Linked DNA regions of Diceros bicornis minor. The protein of the gene in region 2 interacts with the protein of the main gene of each other region in a biochemical or structural test. Links are inferred from orthologs where the notes say so. Each region holds a gene or a part of one and is shown on either strand. Other genes may lie near its edges.

What was found.
Region 1: the proteins of KPNB1 (region 2) and KPNA4 form a complex in vitro, tested with the Homo sapiens proteins (2 studies listed by BioGRID and IntAct, with this or other methods). The link is inferred for Diceros bicornis minor from reciprocal best matches to the Homo sapiens genes KPNB1 and KPNA4.

What each region holds. Positions count from the first base shown.
Region 1 is NC_080754.1:66,456,700-66,467,467, forward strand, and holds the start of KPNA4 (importin subunit alpha-3), read right to left. Parts: upstream 4,101-10,768; 5' UTR 3,869-4,100; coding exon 3,800-3,868; intron 990-3,799; exon of another isoform or gene 923-989; coding exon of another isoform or gene 884-922; intron 1-883. UniProt on the Homo sapiens protein: Functions in nuclear protein import as an adapter protein for nuclear receptor KPNB1. Binds specifically and directly to substrates containing either a simple or bipartite NLS motif.
Region 2 is NC_080757.1:38,183,527-38,194,569, forward strand, and holds the start of KPNB1 (importin subunit beta-1), read right to left. Parts: upstream 4,165-11,043; 5' UTR 3,845-4,164; coding exon 3,805-3,844; intron 3,703-3,804; coding exon 3,644-3,702; intron 1,509-3,643; coding exon 1,326-1,508; intron 1-1,325.

The sequences.
Region 1 (10,768 bases), on a different chromosome or scaffold from region 2:
TCTGACAGTTCCTGTAAATTATTTTAAATGGTTACTGACATATGCCTTCTTTGATGCTTCTGTCTTTCAAGAAGTAGGCATGAGCACATTTTGGAGGACCCAGAATGGTAGACTGAAAGACAGGAATGAACATCAGATTGAAAGCTATGAATTAGTTTCAACTCTAACACTTAGAAATTATGATTTTAGAAGAGTCACTAATTCCCTATGCCCAAAAGCCCTTCAATGAACAATCAGACATCTCTACATTAAAAACTTTCCCCATTAATTGTAACTTAAGATATATATTCGCACAGAAGAAAAAAACAGAGCCAATTACAAATAAGGGAGTAAGAATCAGGGGCTAGCCCAGTGGCGTAGTGGTTAAGTATGTGTGCTCTGCTTTGGCGGTCCGGGATTCACAGGTTCGGATCCCGGGTGCGCACCTAGGCATTGCTTGTAAGGCCATGCTGTGGTGGCATCCCATATAAAGTAGAGGAAGATGGCACGGATGTTAGCCCAGGGTCAACTCTTCCTCAGCAAAAAAGAAGAGGATTGACATTGGATGTTAGCTCAGGGCTGATCTTCCTCACACACACACACAAAAAGAATCAATTACACTGAATCCTATTAAATCCCCTCCTGCCCCCCAAACAGAAAAACTGAAGGTGATAAAATGCTCAGAGAATTGCCAGGCATCTTCCTAACATTAACCTATCAATCTTCACAACACTCATGAAGCAGATGTCAAGTACCTCCAGTTTTACAGACTGAAAGAACCGTAAGACTGACTAATTCTTCCAAGGTCACACACAGATCAGATTAAACTAAACTCTAGGACTTTGTACTCTTCATAATTTCAAATCAAACAATGTCAGATCAAACTGAAAAATGCTATAATTACCTCACTCTGTATGCTATCCTCTGTATCTGTGTGGTCCATTTAGGTAGCCACTAGCCACATGTAGCTATAAGGCACCTGAAATGTAGGTAGTCCAAATTGAGATGTGCTGTAAGTGCAAAATACAAACCAGATTTTGAAGACTCAGTATGAAAAGAATATAAAATATCTCATTTTTTTACATTGATTACATATTGCAACAGTATTTTGGATATATTGGATTAAATAAAATTTATTGGACAGCACTGGTCCATACTTCTTTCCAAAGACCTCCCAATGAAACAGCTGTTATCATAAAACCTAAATCAAAAAGCAGTATTTTCTCAGGATTTGTTGTTGCACAACATAGAAACCATATTTGGGGGTGGAGGAGATGAGCATAGTTAAGTGTTTTGACGGACACAGGCATATATGTAATTAATAAATAGACAAAATAGGCCATTCTGGTGTTCTCTAAGGATAATAAAAGATGTTTCCATCTCATCACAAGCATATGTGACTTTGAGTAAGTCACAAGTGAGGACAAAGTATGACTTTCCATTAGAGTCATATGTCATTTCCTTAGGTGGAAAAGTGAAAAGATTCCTATTCCTAATGTACACACAGGGTTATCAAAGTCACCAGAGGATGCCCAGAAGGCACCTTTAACTTCTCCAAAAAATCTGCCTAATGTGTATTTATAGCTATTTTTAAAAATCACATATCATAATATTATTCTAATATAGAGTCAGCACTTAATCTTATTTTGACTAAAGTAATAAACAAGAGGTATACAGCAAGTGGAAACATCAATTTAAAAAACAAAAGGATCACTTGAGAAAACAGTTTGGCAATCCCAATAAAGGCTACACATAAAGTTACTATATGACCCAGAAATTCTACTCCTAAGTATATAACCAAAGAGAAATGAAAACATAGGTCCACACAAAAATGTGTATATGGATGTTCATAGCAGTATTATGCATAATAGCTAAAAGGAAGAAACAATGCAAATGTCTATCAACTGATAAATGGATAAACAAAACGTGGTATATCCACGCACTGGAATATTATTCAGCCATAAAAAGGAACGAAGCACTGACACACTGACACATTCTTGTTACAACATGTGCAAACCTTGAAAACATTATGCTACCTGAAAGAAGCCAGCCACAAAAGATCACATATTGTATAACACATTTACATTAAATATCCAGAATAGGCAAATCTAAAAAGACACAGTACTTGGGAAATGAAGAGTGACTGCTAATGAGTTTGGGTTTCTTTCTGGGGTGATGAAAACGTTCCAAGATTGATTGTGGTGATGGTTGCACAACCATGTGAAAACACCAAAAGCCCACTTTAAATGGGTGAATGGTATGGTATGTGAATTACATCTCAATGAAACTGTTAGAAAAACTGCAGCCAGAAATGTAGGGGGAAAAAAGGAGTAGAAGGATTCATCAAGCACCTAACTGATATTTTTCGGGATTTTGTAACTTTGCAGTATTTAAAGTTTTGTAATTTGTGATTTTTTTTCTCATTCTAAATATTCATATTAGTCAAAAATTTTTTCATTACATCACTACACAACTCGGTAAACTTACTAAAAATCATAAATTGTACATTTAAATGGTGGTTTCTATGGCATGTAAATTATCTCAACATAGATGTTAAAATTTTTTCATTAAAATAAAGGGATCACAAGATTCATGTCTCACGTTAACCTTAAAACAATCAGAACTAACAGCCACAGCCCCAGACAATAGTCCCTCAAACTATGAAACCACTAAGACAGCACAAACTACCCTAGAGACTGAATGGCTTTGTGTAAAGGCCCCCAAGCAGTTACTACCTCAGTCAAGCAATGGTCAAAGTCCAGAAACAGGTGATGGGAATTTGAAGATCTCAGTACAAAAAAGTACAAAGGGACAACATAAAAAATACTACTTGACCGCTTTCTCCTAAAAGCTAAACTCTTGATTCAGATACAGAACGGAAGTATTAAAAAAAGGAAACAAACAAAAATCCTATTTATCTAGACTCTTAAAGCTGAAGGGAAGAAGTCTTCTACCAGAAATCTGTGATTTGTGTGTATGTGCGTATTTGACCCTCACATCTTATGTAGCCGGAGAACCTCGAGAGCAGCTCTATCTAAGATAATGAAGATTTTCTTCACTCTCTTAAAATAATAAAACGTGAGGGTGCCATTCCAGAGCCCACCCCATCCCCCACTACCACCACTAGCAGGTGGAGGGCAACAATACTGTAGATTAGCGGATGACAGCTTTCTATAACCCTCTGGACTTTATACGTAAGAACGCAGCTGGAGGCTCTCAGGAGGCGGTAGAAAGATTTCTGAACAAGCTGAAATAAGGGCTATCCTTTGCCTGGAAGAGGGCACACTGTGAGCCACGTCTTGAGTCAGCTACATCCGAATAAAACACAGGCTGCTGGAAGGCATGTCAGCATCCCCAGGAGGGGCATTTCTCCACGGAGAAGCGGACTGCCGTAGCTCGGATACCGGGGGAGACAGGAGTAAAGCGGGGGTCGGGAAGACCCGCCGACATGTCTGTCAGCGCACACGCCCCGGGCCGCGCCGAGGAAGTTCCGAGCCCCCTCGGGGGCCGCAGGCTCGCTCCCCGCCGCCCTCCCGCCCCCTGCCGCGGCGCCGGCGCCCGAGCGAGCGCCGGAACCCCGCGCCGGGGGAGCCCTCCCGGCCCGGACGCGCCGGCTCCGGCTCCGGCGCCGCGGGCAGGCCTAGGCCGCAGCCCAGCGCCGCTCCCGGCGGAGGCCGCCCAGGCCGGCACCAACTTCCCGGCGCGGCCGCAAAGGCGTCACGGCGGGCGGCCCGGCGCCATGCCCGGCCCGGCTCCGCCCGCCCCCCGCACTCGAGGCCGCCGAGCGCCCGCGCCCCGCCCTCCGGCGCCCCGACCGTACCTCCAAGTCGCGGCCTTTGTTCTTGAAATTCTTGAGCCGCTGGTTGTCCAGTTTCTCGTTGTCCGCCATGGCCGGGCCGGAGACTCCCTCCCCGCCCGGGCCCCGCGGGATCCGCCCCAACCACCACGCCGCGCCGACACTCCCGGGAGCCGGGCCGCCAGCCGCGGCCTTCCTCCTCTCCCTGCCTCGCGCGGCCTCCTGCTCCTCTCCCCGCCCGCCCCCCGCCCTATCCGGCGCGACCGCGCTCGGGCTGAGACAACTGCGGGGCCGGGCGGCAACGGCGGCGGAATGCGCTGCCGGCTGAGAGGGGGAGGCAGCCTCGGTCTGAGGGCCCGGCGCCGCGACCACGCCCATCCCGCCAACCCCGCTCGCTGATTGGCTACCCAGGCTCCGGCGCGCTCGACCAATCAGAAAGGACGATGGAGAGCGGGGGCGAAGAGAGCAAAAGGAAAGGGGAAGCGAGCTGCGCTGGGAGGAAGGGGCCGGCGGCCGGGAAGTCTGGGAGGGGTGGGGCCCCGTGCCGCCGGAGCGCGGGGGAGGAAGCGAAGGAGACTGAGACCGCAAGAGGGGAGCGGGGGAAAGGGAGGAGCCCCGGAGCGTGGTGGTTTGCTCCGGGCGTCCTGCTGCCGCAGATGTCCGGGGTCCGGGCTCGAAGCCGAGGAGGAGTACGTCCACTGTTTCTCGGGTGCGCCCTCTCGCCCAGGGTATTCCCTGCGCTCTCCGCCGACTTTACAGGAAGTGAGGGCTGCGCCTGCCCCATCGCGGGTCGGGACCCTTCTGCCCCACCAGCTCCGTTCCCCGGAGGCGGCCCTGCGTCTGAGGGCCGGGCTTCGGGGCAGGACTGCAGGGTGACGTGCTTTGGGGGGCGCGGCGGGAAGCGGGAGGGTTGGTGAGTGGAAAAGGAAAAGGACGCGTTAGACAAATCTGATTCATCTCCTCTGACCAAGTCCCCGCAACAGGTAGGAACTTTGGAATCGCTGATGATCCTTTGATGTTAGCACCTCTTAGGTATTCGGTCTTAGAGAGTAAAGAAGCTTCTTGGCCATCAAGTACTAACTTCTGGAAGGCGGGGTCTGTGGCACATGACACAGTAGTGTAATATTGTAACTCTGTTGAGAAAGGAAACGAATTCGAAGATCATACATCCCTACCAGGAATATTATTATCAGAGGCGAAAATAACAAGCTACGAAAGAACGTACTCAAATATTTCTGGAAAGGGGAGAAAGAAAAGGTTTAAAAATATATTTAAATACCAACTAAAAGTACTTCAAATGTACAGGTAAACGTGGGGTAGTCAGCAGCGACTGAGGTCGGAAGGAAAGCGGCAGGGTAGAAGCGTCGGGTGTGTTTCAGTTTGACGACGTAGTGGGAGGAGACCCTGATTCAAACTCCTTTGGGAACTTTCACTCCTCATCCCCTTCCCTCCCACTTCCATACTAGCATTCTTTTTGAGTAGAACAGCGTGCAGAGATAAAATGTTTGAAATGAGAATAATACCTTTAAAGTCCTCAATACTTGGTATACTTTCAGCTTCCTAGGCAAACAGAAGCTGTACATGGAAATAATCCACACTGAAGATTAACTTGAATGTAAATTCAGTGCCGATTTTAACTTTAAATCATGACATTCATTATAAATATTCCCTAAAGAATCATTTAATTGAAGTACCATTGCACACTGGGGCACTGATGTTTTCAAAATGAGTTTAGGATAAGAAATTTCACTTGAAAAGCTGGAATATGTGTGTATTTTCCCCCAACATGGATATTTGTCATGAGCAGGATTCAAGAAAACAAATTATTGGTGAATTCCACCCTATAATTAGAAGTGATCTTGTCGACATGCGTATGTAGATGAATATTTTGTACTTGTTGGAATAAATTCCATGACAGCTTTCATGATAAAGGTTATAAAATTGTCTGCTGAAGGGGGAAGAAGAGTCTCCTCTACCCGCTCTGGGCCTTCCTGGCTGGGCTACAGATTAAATTGAAATGAGACTGAAGAGCAGGAGAGAAAATCAAAGTTTAATGACATGTATACATGGGAGAAACCAGGGACACTGTGTTTCTCTACAAACCGCAGAGGTGTTCGCCTTAAATAGCCTGTTCAGATAGACAAAGGAGGGTGTTGGGGAGGGAAAGACCAGAAAGCACAGCAATCAAGAGAGTGTAGATTTAAGTCTTCTCCTCCGTGCTGATAAGAGTTTCCAGAGATAGGGTCATCCCCCGCTCTTCCCAGTAGAGAGAGGTAGATACCTTTACAAATGGAGATTTCCCTTACAAATGTAAATGTTTGGGCTTCCCAAGGACCCTGCTGGTATATCCATACCCAGAGTTAAATTCGTTTAGGCAGTTAGGGGGGAAGGTCAAATGTCCTCCAGAGAAAATAATGAAGGTAAAGAGACATATGTTGAGGTGGCCAATTTCGCTCTCCCACACTGCCATTATGTCTCCCAGCTACAACTGATTGTCTCTGATGATTAAACAACTCAAGGTTCTCTGCAGAATACTCCTAAAACAAGGGCATGATCACAGTTCCCCACTGAGTGAGATGCAGTACAAACAGGAAATAACCACAAAGTGATTTTGGTTTGTTTTTTAAGGTCTGTCTAAAGCCTGTCTCCCTCTCTAGACAATAAGCTCTCTGAAGTCAAGGACCATATTTGTTTTGTTCTCTGTATACCCGCACCTAGTAGTACGTGGCACATAGAATGCGCTCAGTGACTGTCAAATGTAAGACTTGAATCTAAAAGTCTTTGGTTATGTTTCATAAGTTAAAAACAAGGTAACACTTCTTGATAAAAGATGTGAATTGAGTTGCTATTGCTTATGATTTACACTGAGTTCCTTCTAAGAATACTTAATTTGGTATCATACTCATTCCAGGGTTCAGGGAGTAGACGAGACATAGGTTTCAGGGCATACCCCCCCACGTGTTTAAAAGTAGTTGTGACACACTTTGCTAAGACTAACAATTATCCTTAATTATAATGCTTAGGTAATCTGTTTGCTGGCCTAAATTTTTCATTTGAAATTGTCACTACCTGTTTGCCAGCCAGTTTAAATGTTTAGTGTCTATACTTCCAGTTCTTCCCAGATAGAGGATACATAACTTATAACAGGGGTAAAGAAGTTTTTCTAGAGTTGGTGATACAGCCATGTGTTGCTTAACAACTACAGGGATTGATTCTGAGAAATGCGTCCTTAGGTGATTTCGTTGTTCGATCATCAGAGTGTGCTTACACAAACCTAGATAGTATAGCCTACTATACACCTAGGCTGTGTGGTACTAATCTTATGGGACCACTGTCATATATGTGGTACGCCATTGACTGAACTGTTGTTATGCAGCCCATGACTGTAGCTTTAAATGCAGATTGGCAGCCTAATTAGCAAGATACAATAGCTCTAACTGTAGTTTCAGAAATTTAACTTGCTGAATAAGAAAGTAGTCAGATGCAGCCATTAATACCGTTTCAACATAGACTATTTAATATTTAACAAAGATGTTTTTTGTGTATATGAAATATACTTGTAACCAAACACTATGAAACCTATATATGAGACCTGTTTTCAAATAGGATATTCAGTGCCAGGTAACTTAATATCCTGACTTGTTAACTTGGTATAGAAAAAGACTGAAATATGGAAATAACTTATTTTCAATGTGTCATGAAATTCTCCTCTTAGAGTCACTTTCTGAATAAAGAATCTTCCTCTGTTCTGCAGCAGATATTTATGAGAGGATTTGTGAAGGTTTACACAGGGTTTTAGTTGATCAAATATAATTTCAAAAAGAATTATGATTGATAATTATTTAAGCAGTTTGGAGTAGTCTTATGATACTTAGATTAAATTGAAGATTGTGGAATCTCTCTTTAATTTATAATATGGATCTTATCGTTTCCGTTACTGTTTAGGGAGTACCTTGGATTTTGTGAGATTACTTGAGCAAAACTCTAGGTAGTATTTTCTGAAACAAGACGCAACTTTATATGTTGCTAAATCTTACTAAACTGTAATTTATGTTTTTTGTAGTTGGAGTAGTTCTTTTTTTCAGAGGAAAACATTGGACCTTTGATAATATACCTTTATTTTCTTAGGAAAACATAGTTGATCAGGTATTGGGGGGGCTTCATTCATTTCTGTTTATTGCCAGGACTTTTCTGACTTATAACTTGAGGAGCCTGGAGAAAACTACTTCTTTATTTTGACCAAAGTCCCTGAATGGTAAGAGATGATGAATTAAAAAGCTAAAAAGCGTTGATATTAATTTGATTGGAGAGGTGAGCCACCCAATTTTTCTTTAACTTAGTTTTTTTAAGCTTAGTTTTGACTAATTAATTGAAGAAAAACTAAATTTTTTAGTTCAGTTGATAAAAACTGAATTTATACTCATGTATACAGATCATTGATTATTGGTTGATATCTATTTGTATTGCCACCAGGCAAACATGCATAGATTTTCTAAAGCTTTTTTTCACTTGCTTTTCACTTGAGCCTAAAATATTGGAAAATGAAAGGATATGTGTATATATATATTTTATATATATAAAGGATATATGTGTATTTTATATATATAAAGGATATATATATTTATATATATATATAAAAATATATATATATTTTTTATGGTGAGGAAGATTCACCCTGAGCTAATATCTGTTGCCAATCTTCCTCTTTTTACTTGAGGAAGATTGTCCCTGACCTAACATCTGTGCCAGCCTTCCTCTATATTTTGTATATGGGAAGCTGCCACAGCATGGCTTGATGAGCGGTGTGCAGGTCCACACCCAGGATCCGAACCTGTGAACCCCGGGCCCCCAAAGAGGAGCAAGCAAACTTAACCACTATGCCACTGGCCTGGCACCTGTATCATTTGTTTTTAATTATTAAGAAGTAATTAGCACAGAAAGAACCACTTAAGAAGCCAAATAGTCAAGGAGACTATCATATGACCTACAGCAGTGTTTCTCAGAGTTCCCCAGAACTGGATGTTAGTGAGTGTTTCTTAAAAAAAAAAGTTTCCTTTGTGTGACAGTTTTAGGAACTTGGGGGTGGGTGGGAGTGGAAATTTTGAGACATTAGTATTAAGCAGAATGCTATTTGGAAACTTGAAATCATTGAGCCTAGACCCTCAATTTAAAAATTTTGTGTTAACAGCATCAACCAAGTATAGTGACGTACAAATGAGTGATATTTCAAAAGTTTACTTGAAGATTAGTTCTTTGAAACATGTGCATGAGAACATGGTCATGACTAGTGGGTAGGTGTTCAGGTTAGCTCACAAAGGCTTATTTAATTTGTCAAGTACTTATTTGAATGCCATGGAACCTTGTCACAATATGTGACAGTGTTTCTATAAGGAAAATACTTGGATTTACAGCTTTGGTCAGCAGGAACACATCTCTTCTCTTTGCCACTATGCACCAGGAATTGTGTTAGGTGATGCAATTACAAAGATGACAGTGTTCCTTACACTTAGAATTCCGTGAATTAGACATTCTGCAAATTCATAGTTTACCTGATGTTTTGGGAGCCTGGCCTAGCCCTCACCGGTTAGACTCTCATGGTTTCTAGTAGCCTAAACTGGTAGGGAGGAGGGTTAGGATTCTAGGGATTGGGAAATAAGGAACTGGGAGTGGGTGGGGTATAGGCCCAAACCTCTTATCCCACTACTTCTCACTTCAGGCAGGCTCCCTATCCCTATTTTTTTTAAAACATTTTTTATTTTTTCCCCTCCAATTATTTTATTGCAATCATAAAGATTTATAACATTGTATAAATTCAGGTGTACATTATTATTTATCAATTTCTGTATAGACTGCATCGTGCTCACCACCAGTAGTCTCATTTTTATCCATCACCATACGTATGTGCCCCTTTACCCCTTTCACCCACCCGCCAGCCCCCTTCCCCTCTGGTAACCGCTAATCTGTTCTCTTTGTCCATGTGTTTGTCTGCCTGCCACATATGAGTGAAATCATTCAGTGTTTATCTTTCCCTGTCTGGCTTATTTTGCTTAACATCATATCCTCGAGGTCCATCCATGTTCTTGCAAATGGCACAATTTTGTCTTTTTTATGGCCGAGTAGTATTCCATCACATATATATACCACATCTTCTTTATCCATTCATCTGTAGCAGGGCAGTTGGATTGCTTCCACGTATTGGCTATTGTGAATAATGCTGCAGTGAACATAGAGGTGCATAAATCTCTTTGAATTGTTAATTTCAAGATCTCTGGATAAATACCCAGTAGTGGGATAGCTGGATCCAATGGTATTTCTATTTTTAATTTTTTGAGAAATGTCCGTACTGTTTTCCACAGTGGCTGCACCATTTTGCATTCTCGCCAGCAGTCCGTGCAGGTTGGTTCCCTTTTCTTCACATCCTCTCCAACATGTGTTATTTTTTGTCTTCATAATTATAGCCATTCTGACAGGTATAAGGTGATATCTCATTGTGGTTTTGATTTGTATTTCCCTAATAATTAGTGATGTTGAACATCTTTTCGTCTGTCTGTTGGCCTTCTGTATATCTTCTTTGGAGAAATGTCTGTTCATATCCTCTGCCCCTTTTTTGATCGGGTTGTTTGTTGTTGAGTTCTTTATATATTTTGGGGATTAACCCCTTGTCAGATATATGATTTGCAAATATTTTCTCCCAGCTGGTGGGTTGTCTTTTTGTTTATTCCTGGTTTCCTTTGCCTTGCAGAAGCTTCTTAGTCTGATGTAGTCCTATTTGTTTATTTTTTCTTTTGTTTCCCTTGCCTGAGTAGACATGGTATTTAAAAAGATGCTGCTAAGAATGATGTTAAAGAGTGTACTGCCTATATTTTCTTCTAGGAGTTTTATGGTTTCAGGTCTTACCTTCAAGTCTTTAATCCCTTTTGAGTTAATTTTTGTGTATGGTGAAAGGTAATGGTCTACTTTCATTGTTTTGCATGTGGCTGTCCAGTTTTCCCA
Region 2 (11,043 bases):
TTATCTCATTTACTATTGTGTAATTTAAGATGAGAAAATGAATGGGGACTATAAGCCCCACGATTTCCAGTGACTGATAAAATAAACTTCATTTATATCAAATTACTGAGCTAAAGATTAAAATGTTATTACATAAGCAGACCCAATGTGGATAGAAATAGCTCTACATATATTGAAGGAGACTCAAAGTTGGCTTTCATAACCTAGTTCCAAGTCATGAGCACCTCCATGCAAGATTGGAGAGGGAAGGAGGTATATAACTAGAAAGAGAAGTTACTGCCTTAAGGGGAACTAATTTACCTAATGCTGACACCTAGAAAAAGGAAACAGCAAATATGATGTGCATAACCATGACCTGCACAAGCACACCCACAGGAATCCCCCACTGGTTTCCCCTCAAAAACCAAGGACGAATCAATGACTGCACAGATGCTTACTTACTATGCTCTGTGCCTTATCCATGTAAGACAGGCCACTAAAGAATCTCATTAACTAAAAAAAATAAGAAAAAAGCGAACATCTGTCCACATATTCTGAATCCTTTGCTGTAGCTAGAATTATGGATTTCTAACTCAGCAAAAAAGTCACAAGAACTCCATGGTGCAGAGCAACAAGGGACATTCAGTTTTCCTCAAAATTCATCAGTCCAGCTCTTTAAACCCCTTGATAAAAAGCCAAATGTTCCTAAAAAAAATTTTTCATAATTTGCTAAGTAGATAAAAGCAACATTAACGTCATAATCTTATTTTGCCAACTCTTTGGGCTTGAAAGGCCCAAGAGATCATTTAATTCCCCTTCTGACTGCACATAGTGCCATGCCTAAACCAGCAAACAACGAAAATTATCTATAGCAGAAGTTCAACAAGAGCCAGGTGCTGGGTGACTATGGAAGAATCACTTGGGAAGACAGTTTAAAAAATATCCCTGAACCTCACTCCAAATGGGAATCTCTGCAGGGAGCCTGGAAATACATATCACTAACAAATTCTCTAAGTGATTCTGATAGTCCAAGTTGGGAACCACCAATTTGTCTACCATGCAAATTCACCAGAGACTCTACAAATTCTGGCATCTAATTCAAGTTTCCCAAACTGCTGCAGTCTATCTCAGTTGTCTAAAAAAAAATTCCAATGCATTAATGGGAACAGACAAGCTGAACTGAGAAAGAAGATTTAAATCAAATACGATTTCTATCTTCAAGTGAAGTTTAGGTCCCAGAAACCTATTACACTGTCAGCTCTATCCCATTTAAATGACAAAAAACTGACAAAGATGTTTCTTGTTCCCTAGGCTAATATGACCAGAATGAGATGAAAGTCACTTACATAATTCTTGACTTCCCGTCGAGCATTAGCATCAATAGCAAGCCACCTCTGCTGATACTGTGCCTTGATATCTGGATCTTTAGATGTCAAAGAGTTCTTGATTTGTAGACCAGCTGCAACTCTGGCAACCTGACTGTTTCCTGGATTTGCCAGCACTCTGGACAGTTCCACAAGGAAAGTGGGCTGTTAAGAGAAGATGCATTTGTGAATGAAAATCTCTCTTAGGAATTTCACCAATTGAGAATGAATTACAGAGCACCAAAACACTGGAGAAAATCTAAATTTTTTAGAACATATCATAACGTCTCAGAAAATGTCAAAATATCTACTTCAAAACTCTTATAAAAATGTTACTTGGTATATAAAGAAGTCATCCATGTTCTCATGCAGCCTCAGCATTTAACAAAGAGTTAGAGATTTTCCTACCAACATCAGATCTTCACATTAGATCCCTCAGTACTAAAGCAAATTTGACAATGTGGTAGTGAGAGGATTCTTCTCTGTACTTACAACAGTGCCTAGTACTCAATAAATATTTGTTAAATGAATGAACATGTCATGACAGGGTAGAAAGTAAAATTGTTTTTCTAAATTTAAAAAATCTTAGTCCAAAAAGAATGATACTCAAGGTGGATTTTGATCTCATGGAAGCAGGTAACCTTGTAAAAGAGAGGGAAATACTTATAAACCTAAAACATGGACTTCGGAGGTTAGTTCTATTTTAGTTCTAAGTGTTCAGTAAAAGGGGAACAATGAAAAAAGCAGATTTACAAGGAAAAACATAAATATTTAGGAATAGGGGAACATTGAAAAGTTAAAAATGTCAAGGAAAATAATTTTATATTTAATAGTCAACAGTTAATACGCTACAACCTCCTATACATTTTGTACCTGAGTTATCCACTAAACATACTGGATTCCTGAAAAGCATCCTTAATCTTTTGTAATGCACGGGTCCCCAAAACTACTCCCTTTGTTTAAAAATTGTAACACACTCTCCTCTTACCCGCAGAAAGCTCTGTGCAAATGGAAAAGTTAACAGGAAAAACCAAAAGCAGGTACTTTCTTACCACTAACAAGTTCCGCAATCACAGCAGAAGATAATTCTTAAAAGTTTTATTAATTATGTACCACTAAAGAATGTTAGGAATAAGATGTTAGGAACAAGATAAAAGCCTTCTTGCATATTAGCAAAAGTAGAAACAAGAATATACCCTAAATGGAAATGTTATCAGTCTACACTAGTGCAAAATATCTTTTCTACAGAAAGTCAAGGATAAAAAGATTAGTACTAAAAACTAGCACATATGAGGGGGGAAAAAAATGATTAAAGGCAGTTTGTATAAAATAAGCCTCGTCACTTTTTTTGTTTACATTACTTTGCCCAGATAACACAAGGGACCACGTTTAATTAGTGTTATTTAGATTTATTACCTAATACTTTTTAAAAGATGTCAAGTATCATCCACCCTTCCCTCTGCTCCCCATCCCCCCCAACAGGAGAGGGACACCAAAGAGAAACATTACTGGTACACAGGCTGTTTCAACCAATCCATCCCACATTTTTATTTCGAGATCCAGTCTCTAGTGGACTTATCTTCATTTTTTGTCTGTAGCCCTTAAATTTGAAAATACGAAAAACGAGGAACTTTCCTCTGTGATTTCATCTGGACACAGGCCCGATCTCAAGGATGAGCCTCAGCGGGTTGTCTGGGTACAGATTAAGTCTCCACTCAATTGATGTAAAAAAAAACACCCCAGGAGAGGAATAACCAGGCAGGAAACGAAGAAATACTGCCGGAACGGGCATTTGGGTGCCAGGCCTGGTCCTGAGCACAGACCAAGGGATATAGGAAAGCGTAGCGCTCTGGGAAGTAGGTGGAGAGAATCTAAAATCACATGGGCCACGGGACAGGAGAGAGAAGCCGGCCCGGATGAGACCAGGCGGGCAGCCGGGCTCCGAGCTTCCACATGGCCCCTAGGCCCGGCTCCCCCACCCCCACCCTTGCTGAACACGCAGCGCCGCGCAACCTAACTTCCCTTCCCTCCCTCTTTCTCCCTCGCGCTGCACCGCCGCCCTCAGGCCGCGCGGCGATTGGGCGGCGGTCACCCCGGCGCGCCGCGCCATTGGCCCACTGCGGGGCCCGGGGCGGGACACACCCACCGGCTTCCCGATGGCGGGGTTAGGTTGGACCGGGCGGGGGGAGGGGGACGGGATGGGGCGGGGTGGGTTCCCGAGGCCTGGGCCTCCGGGAGGGCGGGAAGGCCCGCACGCAAGGATGGGAGACGGCGGGATGGGGACGGCGGCCGGCACGCACCAGGTTCTCCACGGCCGCACGCTCCAGGAACTTCTGCGCCGCTTCCAGTTCCAGCCGATCTGGGGGAAGGAAAGTGGGAAAGGGGACAGGGTCAGAAGGGCCGGGGGTCCCTCTTCCCCCACCCGGTCACCTCGGCGCGACCCCCGGCCCCCACGTCCTACCGGGGGACACGGTCTTCTCGAGGATGGTGATCAGCTCCATGGCGGAGAAGGTGGCAGCGGCTCCTCCTAAGACGACGGCCCGGCCTCTCGGGCGGCGGCTCTCACTGGGGATGGGGGTTGGGGGTCGGGTGGGAAGGGAGGGTGGGGTGGGGGGCGGGGGTCACCACAAGCCCATTCACCGGCTCCCTCTTGGTGGTCGCTCCGGCTCCCCTGCCTTCCTCCTGGCCTTCCTTCCTCCCTCCTATTTTGCTGCTGGCGGCGATGGCAGCTGCTCCTCGGGCGGCGGGGGAGGGACCCCGGGGGCAGCTAGGAGCGCGGCTGGTGCTCGGGCGGCGGAGGGAGAAAGAAGGAAGGGAGGCGATAAGTGAACGGCGGCTCGCAGGGAGGGAGAGAGAGGAGGGAGGAAGGCGGAGGGATATTCGGGCCGGGCCTCTCCGCGGCGGCACCGCGCTCCTCGCCGATTGGCTGCCGCCCTGGCCACGCGGAATCCCCAATTGGCCGGGTGGGCAGCGTTGAAGGGCCGCCATGCACCGATTTGCCCGCCAGTTTCAAGGCCCGGGTTAGCTGGGCGGGCAGCGGAATGGGGCGTGCGGATTGGTCGAGGGGAGAGAGGTCGGGGTGGGGCAGGCGAGAGCCGGCCGCTGATTGGGTTGGCCTGGTAAAGGCCTTGAGCTCCGACCGGCTGCGCGCTGGGAGGAGGGTGGACCGAAGGCAAGACTCTGGGCCCGCGTGATTGGCTGGGATCCTAGACGTTGATGGGATAGGGCGCCCGGGAGAACTGGGGAGAGGAGTTCGGGGTCGCGGCCGCGGGAAGGCGGGAGGTGCCCCGCCGCTTTCGGAGCCCGGCGCGGGGCACGACGGGACGCCTCCGGGAAGGGGCGGAGCCGTGTGCGGGCTGCGGTTGGGGAAGCGCCGTCACTCCGAGGGGCGTGTTGAAGAGGATTTCGCGGGCCCGAGCGGGGGAGGGGGGACCGTTAAAGCCCTGCACCGCGCCCACAGGAAGCTGCTTTAATGGTTAGGCCTCCTTGGTACCAGGCTCTCGGCTGGGAAGGACTTTGAAGACCATGCGGTTCAACTTTCTATTTGCAGATGTGGAAACTGAAGCCCAGAGAGGGTATGCAACTTGTCCAAGGTTACACAGCGGGTTAGTGGCCTGGTCTGGACTGGATTCAAGCGCTCCTGACTGCCCTTGGCCTTACACGCAGCTTCCTTTCCAAGGAGGAGAATGCGCATGCAGATCTTTTAGATCTATTTATAGGGTTTGAGGCTTGTGCTGTTTTAAGGCCTAACTCACGTGGGATGGGCATTTGGATTTCTCTTAGACGCCCCATCCATAGCTACCAGGTACTTAAAGGAATATAAATGTTTCATCCTGCGAAGGTGCCTCTAATCAAGGCACAACCGTGAGCCAGCAGGAATGTGTGTACAGGCATAAAGGATCGTGGTTCTTAGCCTTATTTAGTTCTAAGCCCTGGAAGAAACTAATGAAAGCCTTTCCTTAGCAGAATGCACATAAAGAAAATGTGCATACAGTTTGACTTCCCTGACATTGGTACATGGACTCCCCGTGAAGAATGTCCTGAATTACTACATTTTCATTGTATTGATCTCGGGGTAATTGGATATAGCTTATAGAGCTCTTTACCAAATAGCTTGAGCTTGTGGAATAATTGCCCTACTCTAGTCATACTGGGAATACCTGGGAGGAACTCCGTCCTCTCTGAGAGATTCCACCCAAGAATTAGAAAAGCTTGGGGCGGGTACTGTGGCATAGCGGTTGGGTTCCCGCGTTCCACTTCGGCGACCCGGGTGTTCGCCAGTTCGGATCCTGGGCACAGACATACTCACCGCTCATCAAGCCGTGCTGAGGCAGCGTCCCACGTAGAAGAATTAGAAGGACCTACAACTAAGACAACTGTGTACTGGGGCTTTGGGGAGAAAAAAGAAAAAAAAAAGCTTGGCCAGCTACCTTTAACCTTAAAAGAGAAAGAAGAGGTCTTTCTCTGCTAGAGATATCTTTGCAGTTGTGATGCTGGAAGTGTGGGGACACCATTCCTCACCTCATTCTGTGACTAGCGGATTTCCTGTGGCTTAGCCGTCCTCCTAACCCGGCCTTTGGCTTCATCTGTTAACTGAGGAAGAACGGCCCTGTGTGTAACTTTGTTAGGAATCAATGAAGGTTAAGTGAGATGACCTCCATGAAAATCTTGAACTGCCCTTATGCGGATTACCCATGCTACAAATGATCCAGAGTTTTGTCTCACTCCAAGCCAGCTTTCTCCTGCTCTCACCGGTGTGCTGAGCCACCCCCTCTACTCGACATCAGTCATGATATACCAGTGAGGGCAAATGGATTTTTAAAGTAGCTGAAATAAAATGCTGGGAAGATAAATGTTTTGCAGCAAAGTTCCAGTCAAACAAAAGATCCTTCCCAAAACCCAAGTGAAATGAGTTTTTAGTTGAACTAAGGTTCCTGATGATGCTGGCTAGTCCCTGTCCAAAGCACTCAACACTAGCCTGCACTCAGCAGATGCTAGTGAGGCACCAAAAGGTATTGAGCACACAGACTCCAGAAACTGTCCGCCCGAGTTCATATCCCAGCTCTGCCTCTTCTTAGCTTGTGTGACTGACTTTGCTAAAATGCAGCTAATAATTGTACCTATTTCGTGTACGCTTTTGGAAAGTCTTAAGTGAGTTAATACATGTTAAGGGCTAGGAACACTGCTTGGCATGTTTATATATGTTGGCTATTATGTATTTAGCATGTATTTTGTACTAAGTGAGTGGTTCTTGGTCCTTGGCCTGTTAGAGAAGAAAGACTTTAATCAATTAATCTCAAACAAATGTTGGGGCTGGCCCGGTGGCGCAAGCGGTTAAGTGTGCGCGCTCCACTGCAGCAGCCCAGGGTTCGCCGGTTCGGATCCTGGGCGCGCACCGACGCACCGCTTGGCAAGCCATGCTGTGGCAGCATCCCATATAAAGTGGAGGAAGATGGGCACGGATGTTAGCCCAGGGCCAGTCTTCCTCGGCAAAAAAAGAGGAGGATTGGCAGATGTTAGCACAGGGCTGATCTCCTCACAAAAAAAAAAATTCTCAAACAAATGTAAAGTTGTAAAAATGCCAAATGCCAAAGAATGACTCAGGACACTCAGGGAAAGCTTACTTGAGAAAGAGAAGAGACTTATTCAGGTGGAGAAGGGAGGAATAGCATGTGCAAAAGCCCTGTGGTGGGAGGGAGCTTGGGGATTATAAGGAACTGCAAGAGGGCCAGTACCTCCAAAGCACAGAGAACAAGGGAATGAGGTAAAGCTAGAGTGTTGAGTAGGAAAAAGACCATGTGAGATCTTGCATGCCATGCAGATGATTTTGTCTATATCTTAAGAGCAAAGGGCAGCTATTCAAAGGTGTTAAGAATGTTGGTGGTTATAATGTGGAGATTAGCCTGGAAAGAGGGAAGAGTAGGTGCAGGGAGACCAGTTAGTAGGCCATTGCAATAGTCCAGGTAAGAGATGATACTTGGAGAAAGGAGAAGGGAAGAAGTAATAGTGGAAATAGATAGCAAAATTAATTGAACTTGGTAACTGACTGGAAGAAGAGGGAGGTGTCACTGGTGCCTGCTGGATCTCTGGCTTGCACTGTGGAATGGATGGTGATCCCATTTGCAGTGTTTCCCAAGTAGGAGGAACTGGAAGCCACCTGGTTTAGTAGAGTGGGGAGAGGTACAAGTGTTTCTTGAGCTGTGTATGGAGTACACAGGTTTTAATGTGTTTTCTCTATAACTTTTTGAGTGGCAGGAATATTCATGTCCAATGAACGAATTATGAAATTAAAAAGAAAAACTGGGTTTCATTCTTACTCTACCATTTCCTGCTGTATGATCCTGAACAAGTCACGTAAGCTTTTGGGTCTGTGAGATGGGAGAATCTGGGCCGCACCTTGGGTGGTCTGAGCATACACAGGAGCCTCTCTGAAGCGCTCGGGACAAGTGTCTCGTGCCGGGAGACACTCGCCAGGATCTGTGAAGCACCCAGTCCCCCCATGACCTGCAGCACATACGTGTGAGAAGACTGGCTGCGAGGGGAGAAGCAGTCGGGCTGTGACCTGATGCCCTTTCCTCCTGCGCAGAGCTGACCCACCTGAGACGGGTCAAACTTTGGCCTCATTAGCGTTGAGGAAGAATGGAGGTGAAGGCGACATCTGGAGGACTAAGTGCCCCTCTGCTTGGTAATGGGGCAAACTTCGTTGCCGTTTTCCTGACTTCCCACGCTTCTCCCAAATAACTTAGAGAAGAGAGAGCATTCGCAGAAAAGCAGCCGAGACGTTGCTCTTTCAACTTCAACCCCCAGAAGCAGAAATACTATTATCATCAAACAATTTTCTCGTCTCCCCCGCCCTTCCCTTCGCTCACTAGGCTCCAGCATTCTTTCTGTTCCTTGAAGACACCATGATGTATGAGTCTCAGGACCTTGGCATTCGCTCTTCCTTCCCATTAGTACTGTCTCAGTTCAGATGTCACTTCCTCAGAGAGGCCTTCCCTGACCACCCCATCTAAGGTGGTTTCCACAGATAGTCTTTGGGACGGGACCCTATTTGATTATCTTCAGAAAACCTCTCAGTACCTGAAATTATCTTTTTTTTTTTTTTTTTTTTGCTGTCTGTTCTTACCCCCACTAAAATGCAACTTCCATGAGAGCAAGGATCTTGTCTGTCTTGTTTGTAGCTTAAAATTGTGCCTCACACATAGTAGGGTCAAGTGTTTGTGAAACAGATGAAGCATACGTAACTACACATGCAACATGTCCTTATGGCCTGTGAGAAGTGACAGTCTAGCTTTGTAAAGACACTTTATAACTTAATTTGCCCTCTTTTCCAGTGTTACCCACACTAGCCCCTACATGTACCTTTGATCCATCAAGCCAACCATCTCCCTGTGTCCTGCAGAAGTGCTCATCAGTGTCCTAGGCCTTTCCCCTACCTAGAATTCCCTCCTTGTCCTTCTCTGTCTTCTAAGTTGTACCTTGTTAATTTGTTCATTTAACTACATTAATTTATTGGATGTCTCCCCCACCCCCTAGGGCATTTCAAGCATAACATGAGAATATGATAAAAGCCATAAGAGAGGTACAAACCCAGTGCTGTCATGGAGCTAAAATCTGAGAGGAGGGAGAGAGACTTCTTATTTTCCAGACATAGTTATGAGAACACTTAGTAGACAAGGGAGGATTTGAGCTGAACATTGAAGGATTGGAGAACTTTGTAAATGTAGAGATTGCAATGAAGCCTTTGTTAACAAAGGTTGTGCGCATTGATATCTCTGCTTACTAACAGTGTGATCTTGGGAATGCTTATTTAATGCCTCTGTGTCTCAGTTTCCTCTTCTGTAAAATGGGGATAATAGTCTTAGCGTTGGCTTCGTAGGTACGAGACCTGTACAGTCACATAGGCACTTAGAAGGGCTGGCTTCTTGCTTGGTTTAATGTTCTGCTCTCACCGTATTGAAATGCTTCAAAATTTTTGAACAAGGGGCCCTGCAAATTGCATCCTGATCGTAGGGTTCTTGCAAAGTCCTCAGAAGTTAGCACATGTAAAGTTCTTAGAACAGTGAGGGGCTGGCATATGATGAGGGTTCAGTGAGTGCTAGCTGTTATACTGTTGTTGTTATTCTCTGAACTCTTGCAACAGTATAGCTCACAGTGTACCTCACAGTTTCGCATTTAGACAACCAGCAAATATTCTTGAGTGCCTGCTCCGTAGAGGTACTGGATGGGTCCCAGAGATGAATAGGACAGTATTTGCTGTCCTAGTGGAAGTTATGAAGAACGCATATGTTTTAAACATGCTAATTAGTAATAAATAGCAAATAATATATGTCAAATAGGAAGTATAGGAATTTTTAAAAAATACATTTTGGGGCCCCACCTTCAGAGAGTCGTAGTAGTAGCTCTGGTGTGGGCCTTCAGAACAGTTCCCCAGGTGATTCTAATGAACAGTCACGTTTTGGAACTGCTGGCATTAACTAGGGAGGCCACGTGGAATAGAGACCAAAAGTTTGGCATTGGAGTCGGTCAGACCAGGGTTTGTGTCCCTGCCGTCTGTTACTCTGTTACTTTGCATGTTACTTAGCGTCTCGGTAAACATTAAAACATACTTGTAAGATCGAATTTTAAAATGCTTGAAAAAGCTAAGCACATAGTGGACACTTAATTATGGGTTACTTCCTCTAGAGGGGGAGATGGTATCCCAGGAAGGGGCAGTCACAGAGGACTTCCTGGAGAAGAGGATAATCCACTCCTACAAGGAGTATGATTTGGATGGGAGAAAGGCTTCTAATTATACACTCTAGCAACAGGCAAGATATTAGGTGATAATATTGGAGGAATGCCAAATCACAAAATAATTTATGGGATTTAGTGGCTGATTAGATACAGAGGAGAGGAAAGAATAAAGGTGAGTCCTAGGTCTCCAACTTGAGTGTCTGAGAGTGGGTCATTTTAAAAACAAGCTGCAGGAAGGTGGGGTAGAAGTTAGGGGAGGGGTCGTGAATCCAGTTTTAGAAACGTTTAGTTTTTAAGATCATTGGGGGACATCCAAGAGAAGCTGTACATTCTTTTTTTTTTTTTTTTTGTGAGGAAGATCGGCCCTGAGCTAACATCCATGCTAATCCTCCTCTTTTTGCTGAGGAAGGCCGGCTCTGAGCTAACATCTATTGCCAATCCTCCTCCTTTTTTTCCCCCAAAGCCCCACTAGATAGTTGTATGTCATAGTTGCACATCCTTCTAGTTGCTATATGTGGGACGCGGCCTCAGCATGGCTGGAGAAGCGGTGCGTTGGTGAGCGCCCGGGATCCGAACGCGGGCCGCCAGCAGCAGAGCACGCGCACTTAACCGCTAAGCCACGGGGCCGGCCCCAAGCTGTACATTCTTGACTGGGATTTGGGAGAAAGGCTGGTGCTTGGGAAGTAAGAATTTAGAAGTCAATAGATCAGAAACAATCACTGAGATCCTGAGAGTAAATTATGTCTTGAAGGACATTCTATAAAGGGAGAGAAAGAAAAAAGGTTTCAGGAATGGAAGTGGGGTTCTAAACTAGCCGGTAGTAAGAGTGAGAGGAAGAAGAGGAGAAGAGCAGAGGCGGGAGAAGACACGGGAGCGTGGGCTGCTTAGAGTGTGGTAGTCTGGGTGGTTGTGGCAGGCTGAGGCCAGCCCTGGCGGTCTAGTGGTGAAGATTGGGCGCTCTCAC